3 linked regions of the Drosophila melanogaster genome follow. Changing the gene in region 3 together with the main gene of any one other region gives a genetic interaction. Each region holds a gene or a part of one and is shown on either strand. Other genes may lie near its edges.

Region 1 (3,753 bases), 1.2 Mb from region 3:
GCCTCGTTCACTGCAGCACCAGCACTAGCTGCCCGCGATGCATCCGGCGATTTGGGAAACATCTGTTGCGTGGTGATGTTCTGGTAGTGCTGCTGCTGGCGCTGCTGCATCATCTGCTCCTCCCTCTCGCGATCGCGCTGCGCCTGAACGGCATTCCAGACATCCTTCAGCTCGCCGGAGATATCGCGATCCTTGAGTATTACGGCGTTTCTGGAGATGTATTACATATATTTTTATTCTTGTTTTTAATCGGGCAGTAAACTAATAGTGTTATTATATACCTGACTAATTTCACGCCTGGATTCATAGCCTCCACAAAGTCGCACATCAGCTCCACCATAGCTCGTCGCTCCTCAGGATCTTTGCTGTGACGTCCGGAGTCTTTGAGCACCTCCGGATTGGCCATTACGGCAAAGACAATGGGAGGACTGCGTGGGCTGCCAGGCGGTACCTTAATGAATAAGAACATTAACATAAATAACTAATAAAGGAAACACCGACGTGAATGTTTGAGGACACTTAATCTAAGGAATCTTACCCGCATGCCTCCGTAAAGGGGAATGGGATCGCTGGGCTCCTGCGGTATCACAATGCGCGTCCAGCTGAGGACATTGATGAAGAGCTCCTCGCCCGCCTCCGTGGTGGTGCGGATGCACATGTGGGGCTGTGGCGGATTCTTGAAGTGGCGATAGGCCCGCGAATGTCGGTAGCTGTGCGGCGGCGGTGAGGAGTTCATCAGACTGAGGCCGAGTCCTGTGATGCCATTGTTGCTATTGCCCTCGAGTTCCTGCTGCTGCTGCGGATCCTGGTGCATCTGAAGCTGGGTTTCCGTATCTAAATTATTGTTGTAGCTATTTGTTGTGGTTGCATTTGCATTGATGGCAGTGTTTGTATTTATCTCCTCGCTTTGTGATTGATTTTGTTGTTGTTGCTGGGATTGTTGCTCCTGGGCTGAAGCCTCCGCCTCGAGTTCGGCCGCAGACATGGTTTTGGATTTTATATAACTATTCGGCAGTCTTTAGTTTAATCAGTTTCAATAAGATATCCTTTTGTTTCTCATTCGTTCACTGGGATACGTTTGAATTCGCCATGCGGCGAGTGTGTCGTGCGGCGAATTCGTTAGCCGTGTTTTTCGTCCTCTTTGTTCTACCACGCACTCACACCAAAACACCAGCTCTCTCGCTCTCGCTTACAGGTCGCCTTCATACAACATTATTATTGCTCCTTGGATCCTGGCTGCGTGCCTAACCTGTGACCTTTGGCGTAATTAATGGACTTGCCTGCATATTAGGGCCTACGGCGTATTATACCCCACACAGTTGACACTAATATCCTCCAGAAATTCAAAGTCTTTTTATCTGGCACGCACACGAATGCAAAACACCCTTCTGCCTTCCTACACACGCACAAGTGGGAGTTGGTTGACTACGGGGGAGGTGGGTGAAGAAGAGAAGAGAAGACAAGGTGAAAACATGAAAATGGAAAAGTTCAAAGCGTTTGCGGTGCCACACTTACACATTTCACTGATTTTCATTTATAATAATCACTTTTCCATTGCACCATGCACACAAAAACACACACAAACAAACGGGCGCAGTTACATACTTATGTATATATGTATATATACACACACGATGCGTTTTCCTGACTCGCACTCACATAATTTCCCATTAGAATGGGCAAACAATGCAGGCAGCGGAACGTGTGTGCTGCGCTGATTTTTATATTTAGCTTTTTAGCAGCTTTTCATGGCAGACGGACACACGGAAAACAGCCGATTTTTCCGACAACCCAACATAAACAAAAAACTAATGGGTCAGTGTGGCCAGATGGGGTTGCTGCGCAATTTCAGAGCGTTGCCATTAGACAAGAAACACCAGGGCTGTCGTTACATATGTAAACAAACAATAATTTAAAACTGCATTTAAAAATAAAACAAAAAATTGAATAAATCTTTAATAAATATTAAGCAAAAGGTCATTACAAGTTTATTTCACACAAAGTACGAAATCGATTAATTCCATAATCTAGTTCAACGAACCAGTTCTGCTCATCATCAATCAATTCACGTGCAGCCCTCGTCCAGCCGGTTAATTTTTTTGCACAAGCGCTGGACAGAAAAGTGTAATTAAGCGGCTTAAAACGGGTTTACATTTATAGTATAACTTGTAAATAAACAGTTAAGGATTATAATATTATTGGAATACAAGTTTCCAACGCACAACCAAAGGATTTGGTAGAAAGTCGGCCAGCTTGTCCCGCAAATTTTCCCACAGGGGTGTGTGTATAACAAAATGGCGTCCTCGCAAGTCTCAAACAAATCGGGCTCCGGTTGGCCGCGCCGCGGAAGCCAAGGCCAAGCGGATGCAGCCAGCAGCAATAACAACGGTACCCAGAAGTACACCAACCAGGCGCTAACCATCAATCGCACCATCAACTTGTGGGTACAACACATTTCATTCATAGACGCACATCATAGATCGATCGATTGTTTCAGATACCCCCTTACGAACTACACATTCGGCACCAAGGAGCCGCTCTTTGAGAAGGATCCGTCGGTGCCATCCCGATTCCAGCGGATGCGCGAGGAATTCGACCGGATCGGAATGCGGCGCTCCGTCGAGGGAGTGCTTCTGGTCCACGAGCACGGACTGCCACATGTCTTGCTCCTGCAGCTGGGCACCACGTTCTTCAAATTGCCCGGTGGCGAGCTAAACGCCGGCGAGGATGAGGTCGAGGGCCTCAAGAGATTGCTATCCGAGGTAAGTCAAACGTGGCGCCATAGTTAAATATTGTTATTTGATCTTAACTATCACTACTTTTATTATTTCGTAGACGCTGGGTCGTCAGGACGGCGTAAAGCAGGAGTGGATTGTTGAGGACACGATTGGGAACTGGTGGCGGCCGAACTTTGAGCCACCGCAATATCCATACATTCCGCCGCACATCACCAAGCCCAAGGAGCACAAGCGGCTTTTCCTCGTCCAGCTACATGAAAAGGGTAAATATCCGCAGGGCGTTTTGTAAGTCCCTACGCGTAGGTATAACGAGCACACCGTGTATCCAGAATATCCATCTCTCCATGTACTTTATATAACCTATAGATTGTTTTTGTTTGCCAAAAACCGAATACGCTAACAAACCTCATGTCATATCTTTTCAATGCTGTTTAGATACGGACGGGAACGCCAGTTACGATGTACCCTGAGCAGTTCCATTAGCGCCGTGTGTGTCGTATCTACCCAACTCTAATCTCAAGAGTGCAATGCCATAGAACAACAAATCGAGCAAACAGAACAGATCAAACAGAAAAGAAACAAACAGATCGCAAAAGCTGGCGCAGGCGACTCCTTAGTTAGTTTTGATTCTAGTCCAATTGTACAACATGTCGAAAATCAAATTCAAATTGTATTTTTGCTCAGGACTGAGTGTTGGCATATTTTGTTATTTCCCGATTTTTATCATTCGAAATTCAAAGATTGTTCTTGTACTTAATTTTGTAAATATGTCGACATACTTGTGAGACTGAGCGCAGCAATGTTATCCTTCTATTTACATATTTTATTTATTTCCTAGCTTCTATTCTTACTTTTGTGAAGTGTCATGTGTCGTTCATCTTAAGGTTGTTGTGTATTTATCGAAAGCAATCCAATCCATCGGGCAGGCAGCAGAAGAGCATTGTAACGTTGCTGGCTGTCGCAGTCATGTGCCCAAATCTCGCGTGTTTTGCAGATTTGCACGCATGCTGGGCAG
Region 2 (3,753 bases), on a different chromosome or scaffold from region 3:
CCGCTTCCGCGATCGTTACTAGTTTGGGAGCATCCTCCGCGGCTGGAATCTCCGCGGGTGGAATCTCCTCGGCATTGTCTATGGGGGCAGCCTCTTCTGGTGCATTTTCAGCCATCTCTGTGCAATTGAAGTCGTTTCAATAACGTAAATGTTTTAAATGTTTTGGGTTTCTTTTTGGTATATACATAAGTTGTTATGTTTGCTGTTTGCCTAAAATTATTAACTGCTGCTTGAGATTAGAATCAATGGCTGTTGGGTTTTGTCTTATATAGTACATTTTATTGCTATCACAAGTTAATCATACACATATACCGTCGGAAAAAACAAACTAAAATTCAATTGTCTGTAATGGAGTTTAATGCAAGCTCTATCTTTGGCCAAATCGCGGTGGCGGGTCACTAGTTGAAGGCGTAGAGCAGCAGCAAGATCACACAGAAGCCAATAACTGCTCCCAGGATCAGCGAATCGCGTCGCTTTTTAATGTTGATGCGCTGAATGAGACTGTGCATATACAACAAATAATTGGATAAGTAAATATGCATAAATTGAATTGAGAACTCGTCTGTCTCACCTGGAAATCAGTGGGAATCGATTGGAGATATCGTTAAAGCGGGTCTGCAGCCGCTTGAATGCTTGTCGCTGGGCGTGAAGATGGTCACGCGTCTCAATCGCGATATTTATCTGATCGTTGACCAAGTGACTGGCGCTGTTGAGGTGCCCGCTCTCCTTCAGGTACATTTCTCGCCGGTTTAGGCCCGAGATGGATGGACTGCCGGAGCTGGTGGCCAACCCTGAGCCACGAAGCAGCTCCTCTCGCTCGATTCGCATTGTGTGATTGGCGCAGATCTTATTGAACTCCTGGCGATACCCCTGCAGGATCTCTCGATGCCTCTGCAGTGTGTGCATGGCGGCTGCTCCAGAGGCGGGCAAATCGGACATGGACTCATTTAGCGAGGATAGCTGCAATTAAGAAGGATGAAATAGAAATGAAATCCTTCTATTCTATAGAAATTCTATAGATATGGGAATTGCCTAAAAAACGTAGATAACTTAACAAGCAAAACAATTTGAACATTTTGTGCTTCAGTCGGTGACTCATTCATTACTTGGAATTATCTATTAAAGTATTTATCAAATGGAATTCATTTAGCGAATTCAAAGAGGAATTCTTAAACATTTTCTTTTAAAGAATTTAGCAAAGATCAGAGCATAAAAAAAACTCGAATAATAAAGTATAATATATATACAGATTCATAAAAAATTGGAAAGTGATGGAATGTTTTCAATATATATAAGTTAATCGTGGCAGTTTTTCAATTGTGTGCTCAATTCTGCCAATTAAATTATGATTTTTGGGAAGGCTTAGTGGGAAATTAGTAATTCATAGTAGCACAAAGCCGGTGGCACAGAAATTTGCTTAATAAATAAATAAGGAATCCGCACTACATTGTTTCGGGTTTAATCCCTGCACCATCGCATGGCATTGGGTCACATATCGCACCTTCTCCAGCATTTGCTCGATCTCCTCCGACAGCGAATCGAAGACGTGCTCGCCCAGGAGCGGCGATGTGTCAACGCCTCCTAGTCCTCCACTTCCACCTCCTCCACTGCCAGCTCCGATTTTGCTGAATGCCACCAGCTTCAGGTCGATCTCGTTTTCCAGGCTCCGCGCCTGCTTCCTGAGCACTGTGCGGGAGGTCGAGAGGAGAGATAGCTTATATGGAAGGTAACCATTAAGTCCCACTGCTCACCATCGTAGCTGGATCCTCCCATTTGTCAAAAATAGTTTTCCTTTATTTGTTCGACTTTCGTGTGGCAATCGGTGTGACCAGGTCAGGCGGGGCCCAAGTGGAATGAGTTGAGAGTATCGGGAAAGATTAATAGCCAGATTTAATCTAGGCCCTACTTAATGAACAAATGTTTACGAGAAAATTAAATTGTCCTAATAACTTAATGTTAATGTAAAAGGAAAAAGTACAATGTTCTTTTCCAGCCCTTGTGTGAACAGGTCCATACCGGCAGTCATCAAACTTTGGTCACACTGCCGTGCACAGCGTTTTGTTGCCGGCGATTTGTAAAAAAGTTTGTTATTGATTACATTATTTTAGACATCATGACGCAGGCAACAGGTGATGCACGCATGCCAGACGAGGAAAGCGACCTGCTGCAGATCAAGCCACTGTAAGGAATCTTGATTTAAACCAGATAGAAGCTCAAGGGTAACGCTTATATTTCAGTGGTGCTGGCCAGGAAGTGGGACGCTCCTGCATCATGTTGGAATTTAAGGGCAAGAAGATAATGCTGGACTGCGGAATCCATCCGGGATTGTCCGGCATGGATGCCCTGCCCTACGTAGATCTAATAGAGGCGGATGAGATTGATCTGCTGTTTATATCACAGTAAGTACTGCGGCGATTAAATGGGCATTGAACTTTTAATGGTGAATGCTTATATTTATCAGTTTCCACTTGGATCACTGCGGTGCCTTGCCTTGGTTTCTCATGAAGACCAGCTTTAAAGGCCGCTGCTTTATGACCCATGCCACGAAAGCCATTTACCGATGGATGCTGTCCGATTACATCAAGATCAGTAACATATCCACCGAACAGATGCTATACACGGAAGCCGATCTGGAGGCCTCCATGGAGAAGATCGAGACGATCAATTTCCACGAGGAGCGCGATGTGATGGGCGTACGCTTTTGTGCCTATATTGCTGGTCATGTTTTGGGTGCCGCCATGTTCATGATCGAGATTGCTGGCATCAAGATCTTGTATACTGGTGACTTTTCGCGCCAGGAGGATCGACATTTGATGGCTGCCGAAGTGCCACCGATGAAGCCGGATGTTCTTATCACAGAGTCCACCTACGGCACTCACATTCACGAGAAAAGAGAGGATCGAGAGAATCGATTTACCTCGCTGGTGCAGAAAATTGTTCAGCAAGGCGGGAGATGCTTAATTCCAGTATTTGCTTTGGGCCGTGCCCAAGAACTGCTACTTATTCTGGATGAATTCTGGTCGCAGAACCCGGATCTGCACGAGATTCCCATCTACTATGCCTCCTCTTTGGCCAAGAAGTGCATGGCTGTCTACCAGACGTACATCAATGCTATGAACGATCGAATTCGACGACAGATAGCTGTGAACAATCCCTTCGTTTTCCGCCACATTTCCAACCTGAAGGGTATCGATCACTTCGAGGATATCGGACCCTGCGTAATCATGGCGTCGCCGGGTATGATGCAGTCGGGATTGTCGCGAGAGCTCTTCGAGAGCTGGTGCACAGATCCCAAGAACGGAGTGATTATAGCCGGTTACTGCGTGGAGGGCACTTTGGCCAAAGCCGTTCTCTCCGAGCCGGAGGAGATCACCACACTGTCGGGCCAGAAGCTGCCGCTCAACATGTCCGTCGACTACATATCGTTTTCGGCTCACACGGACTACCAGCAGACCAGTGAATTCATCCGCCTACTAAAGCCAACGCATGTCGTGCTCGTCCACGGCGAGCAGAACGAGATGTCGCGTCTGAAGTTGGCCCTGCAGCGGGAATACGAAGCAGATGCAAGCACGGATATAAAATTCTACAACCCGCGAAACACACATGCCGTGGATCTTTATTTCCGTGGCGAGAAAACCGCCAAGGTGATGGGAAGCCTCGCAGCCAAGAACTCGGAGGTGGGAAGCAAACTCTCAGGTGTTCTGGTTAAGCGCGACTTTAAGTACCACCTCTTGGCTCCTTCTGATCTGGGCA
Region 3 (3,753 bases):
CTTATGAATCTTCTTTGGCGGCTTTGGCGGCGGAATCTTCGATTTATATTTTGATTCGATTGTGTTTTTCAAACGTTCGGCCATTTCCTCAAAGCAATCCCTCAGATTTTTCACAGCACTTGATCGGCGGTTGACCTGATCTATGACATTGGTGATCTTGATGAGTTTCTCTTGGGATAAGGAACTGGAGGAATGGGTTCTTCCGCTGTCAGGTGCATCCCGATTGAATGTGGAGCTCGATGGATGCTGCTTATTTCTCGAGAGCTCATACTCCAATAGTTCGACTCTCTTCTTCACAGTGTGACTATCAGCACCATTTGGGGACTCGAAGCCAGTCCTTGGATAAACTTGGCTATCCTTCGAGTCAGAGGATCGCGTATTTGTTTTTCGTATTATTGTCACAATGCTGGCAAAACTACTGGTCGTAGGATCATTTTCCGATTGTTCGGAAACCTCCTTGATGGGTTCCAGTTTCCTGGGTCGTAAAATTTGAGTCGAGCACTTCTTGAGCAGTGTAGGTGATTTGCCAGTAGCTAACTTCTTACATGGCTGGCCTCTGTACTCATCCAAAATTACGTTCAGATTCCTACTGTAGTTACGCACATCCGTGAACGGTTCCTTGAGCACTCCAAAGTCCTTCAAGTGGCCATGCATGAGCAGCATCAGGCTATTTCGGGCCAACTTCTCGCTGAGAGGAGCCTTCTCGAATATCTTTATCCATCTGGCCATGATGGGGCGATCCGACTGCTTAGCCCTTGCCTGATCGGCATACTTGTAACTGGCTAGCTGCTGCCTGAAATGGCGATCCAGTAACTCCTCGCTTAGATCCTTCATGGCCACATTCGCATATTCAACCGGAATCAACTGATTTTGTTCCCAAAAAATATTTGTAATTTTAATGATTTGAATAAAATGAAACCGCTTACTCAAATCGGGTAAGGAAATGCGGAAATATAAGTGGGACTAGTGGCCTTACTCGGCGACTGTCACCAAACGTCTCTCAACCGCAGAAAGGGGAGGGGGGTCAAAAGTGGAGCTCAGGGTTTCTCAGAGATGCTTCAAGTGGTGGGCCCACGTCTGGCAACAAGCACAAGGAGCAGCGACACTACACTTTAAACAAAGAATATCAGAGCTTACTTTTCAAAGAACTTAATGGATTTTCTTGTCGAAACACTCTTACCTGGTGCGTCTCTACACTACGTGGACTAAACTGGACTTCACAGTGATAGCTTTTGCATTTACCACTTCATTTAAGAAAACTGTTGTGTATTAATCTAACAACATGTTACCTCCCACAAATAGTTTAATGTCAGTAATTTGCTTATGGCCATTTCGAAACAATGAATTATTAGTGTAACAGCAGTAGCAACAAAACAGTATGCGGTTGCCACGTAAATTTTCATTAGCGCAGCGCGCGTATAAATTAGGAAAATGAAGCAGCAGCAGCGGCAGCAGGCACTTGAGTGCACCGCAACCTCCATCAAGATGCCCCCTGGTGGGGTGAGTGGGTGGTGGAGTGGGTGGCGGATGGGCGGCTTAACCGCAGCAACAACAACAGCGAATGCGATGCGAACCTACATACATACATACATAGGTGCTGCGGCTTGTGGCGAACTGTGAGCAAAAGTTGCAAACGACCGACTGCCTGCATAAATTTATATTGTTAAACATGAGCTAGAAAAAAGCACGCGCAGCCTGTCAAAAGAAAGCAAAAATAAAGAGCAAAGAAATTGCCTGACATGCAAAAAGCGGTTTGGAAAAAGAGTAAAGTAAATGCATAAAGTACATAGCAAAAATAGAATACCTTCGTATAGAGCTGAGTTCGCAGCAATGCCAAAAAAAGACCTCTTACGCAAAAATATAATATGAAAACACTCTCTATTTTACACAAATGTTAAACATTCAAACAAGTTCATAAACAATAATAAGTTTATGCCCCTCCGTTACTTTACCTAAGTGTTAAGTATAAAGAATTTTACCAACTTCATTGACTATCTGGCAACGTCGCGAGCGTTGTATGTTTTAAAGCTTATTTGGTCACACTAAATCATTGGCATCTTAGCTTTTTTTTTTTTTTTTGATGCACGCGTGTATGCTGTGTATTTTTTTTTTTTTGCTATTTTTAAAATGGATTTCGAGAGCAAATACTGCACCAGTCAAGTAAATGGCACTATTACCATAACTACGCGCAAAGTCCTTGATGAAAATCTAAAATCCTTACTGGATGAGGGAAAGGGCGAGGTGAGTGTCTAGTGAAGCATCTAGTCTCAAAAGTTTACGGAGACACTAATACGTTTTTGCTTCTAGCTGTTTCTCTCGTGTATACCGAGGAATCACAGTTGTTCTCCGCGGTGGATTGTGGAAGTGGCCAGCGAACTGGGTGAAGTTTACATTATGCGCTATAAGATTGATTTTTCGGGAAATTCTCGCGGCTACGCCTACTTGCAATATATCAATGTGGACCTCAAGGAATCGGCAATGCAATAGTACGTACTTCGTAATAATTTTCACATAAAACAGCACTAACCCTAATAATCCCAGTCTGCCAATGCGATTCCGACAGCTTTGCATGTGCTTAAGGGTGGAGCCATCGACCAACAATCGCGAGCTGGTGCTCAAAAACGTAGAATCGTCGCTTAGACCATGGCAAGTGTACCAGGAGATGTTGAAGATACATCCCTTTACCATCGTTCGAGTCTACGAGTATCAATTAGACCAGTTCTTCTATATATTTGAGTACCGCAACAACGACTCGGCCGCAAGTGCCCATCAGAGAGTAAGGAATTCGATCAGAAAATTCGGTGAGCATGCGCACATCTCCTGGTTGACTGCGGAGAACATCTTGAGCAGAGCCAGCGGTAGCTTCTGTTTTCAACGGGAAGTAAGCCAAAATCGTACTCGACGCGTTCCTCCCAGACAAAAGGGCTGTTTCAAGTTTTAAATGGAAGTGGTATCAAGTATGTTACTTTATTGGTTCATGCTACCAAATCCATAAGGCTCCAAATGTTTTGTTTGTACTACACGTAAGTAGGACGAAAATGTATAAAATACTTTAATACTTTAGTTATATTTTTTCTATTGTTAAATAAGTTTATAAGTAAAATAAGAGTACTCTTAAATAAGTCAACCATTTAGATATGAATGAAGATGTTTATTGCTTGATTTGTGTAAGTTTTTGTAATACGTGGAATTTGAAAACAAGAATATGTGTTTTGCAAAGTTAATCTCTGATTTTTTAATGAAATTTTAAAGCCAAATATCAAATCACTTTTAGAATGCATACTATACCTTAAAAAAAAACTAACCAAGCGGATTTTGGAATTCCTGTGGCTCTCTGGGCAGTAAATTATGTTGCTGCCCATGCGAATGTAACATAAACTTTCACCAGTTGTTAGGACAGGGGGAAATTATACACAGCATTGTTCCTGGCAAATCCTTTTGGCCCGCCGCTTCTCACTCTGATGAAATGCAGCCGCAGCTTGTTGACTTCATTAACTCTGGGCAAAAACAGCGAGCAGCCATAAAAATAAAAAAAAATAAAAAAAACAACACCGACAGCGCAGCGAAGCTGCAGTTTTTCACATGCAAATTAATGCAGTGTCTTTGGAGTGGCGGAGTGGCAGCCAGGACTTTCAGGGCAATGCGACAACCTGCGGCATAATGCAATTAAATGAGTGCAGCGAGCAGGAGTCGACGCTAGCCTCCGGCTGGCATTGTGTTGGACACGGTGTCTGGGTACCGGGTCTGACTCCA

What was found.
Region 1: of tut (region 3) and Cpsf5, changing one enhances a phenotype caused by changing the other (phenotypic enhancement), as found in Drosophila melanogaster (one study listed by BioGRID).
Region 2: of tut (region 3) and Cpsf73, changing one enhances a phenotype caused by changing the other (phenotypic enhancement), as found in Drosophila melanogaster (one study listed by BioGRID).

What each region holds. Positions count from the first base shown.
Region 1 is NT_037436.4:9,408,982-9,412,734, forward strand, and holds the start of Cpsf5 (cleavage and polyadenylation specific factor 5), read left to right. Parts: upstream 1-2,056; 5' UTR 2,057-2,294; coding exon 2,295-2,440; intron 2,441-2,497; coding exon 2,498-2,762; intron 2,763-2,835; coding exon 2,836-3,001; intron 3,002-3,173; coding exon of another isoform or gene 3,174-3,208; exon of another isoform or gene 3,209-3,753. Other genes in the region: CG4022 (uncharacterized protein), read right to left, coding at 1-210, 282-451, 539-985.
Region 2 is NT_033777.3:18,661,816-18,665,568, reverse strand, and holds the start of Cpsf73 (cleavage and polyadenylation specificity factor 73), read left to right. Parts: upstream 1-2,016; 5' UTR 2,017-2,113; coding exon 2,114-2,181; intron 2,182-2,237; coding exon 2,238-2,399; intron 2,400-2,461; coding exon 2,462-3,753. Other genes in the region: CG31231 (uncharacterized protein), read right to left, coding at 1-115; Gos28 (golgi SNARE, 28 kDa), read right to left, coding at 399-501, 572-960, 1,502-1,686, 1,752-1,773. UniProt on the Drosophila melanogaster protein: Component of the cleavage and polyadenylation specificity factor (CPSF) complex that plays a key role in pre-mRNA 3'-end formation, recognizing the AAUAAA signal sequence and interacting with poly(A) polymerase and other factors to bring about cleavage and poly(A) addition.
Region 3 is NT_037436.4:8,209,046-8,212,798, reverse strand, and holds tut (tumorous testis), read left to right. Parts: upstream 1-2,055; 5' UTR 2,056-2,127; coding exon 2,128-2,241; intron 2,242-2,307; coding exon 2,308-2,486; intron 2,487-2,541; coding exon 2,542-2,941; 3' UTR 2,942-3,222; downstream 3,223-3,753. Other genes in the region: CG8006 (uncharacterized protein), read right to left, coding at 1-834. UniProt on the Drosophila melanogaster protein: RNA binding protein that forms a complex with bam and bgcn, involved in 3'UTR-dependent regulation of a subset of mRNAs. Preferentially binds a long isoform of mei-P26 transcripts.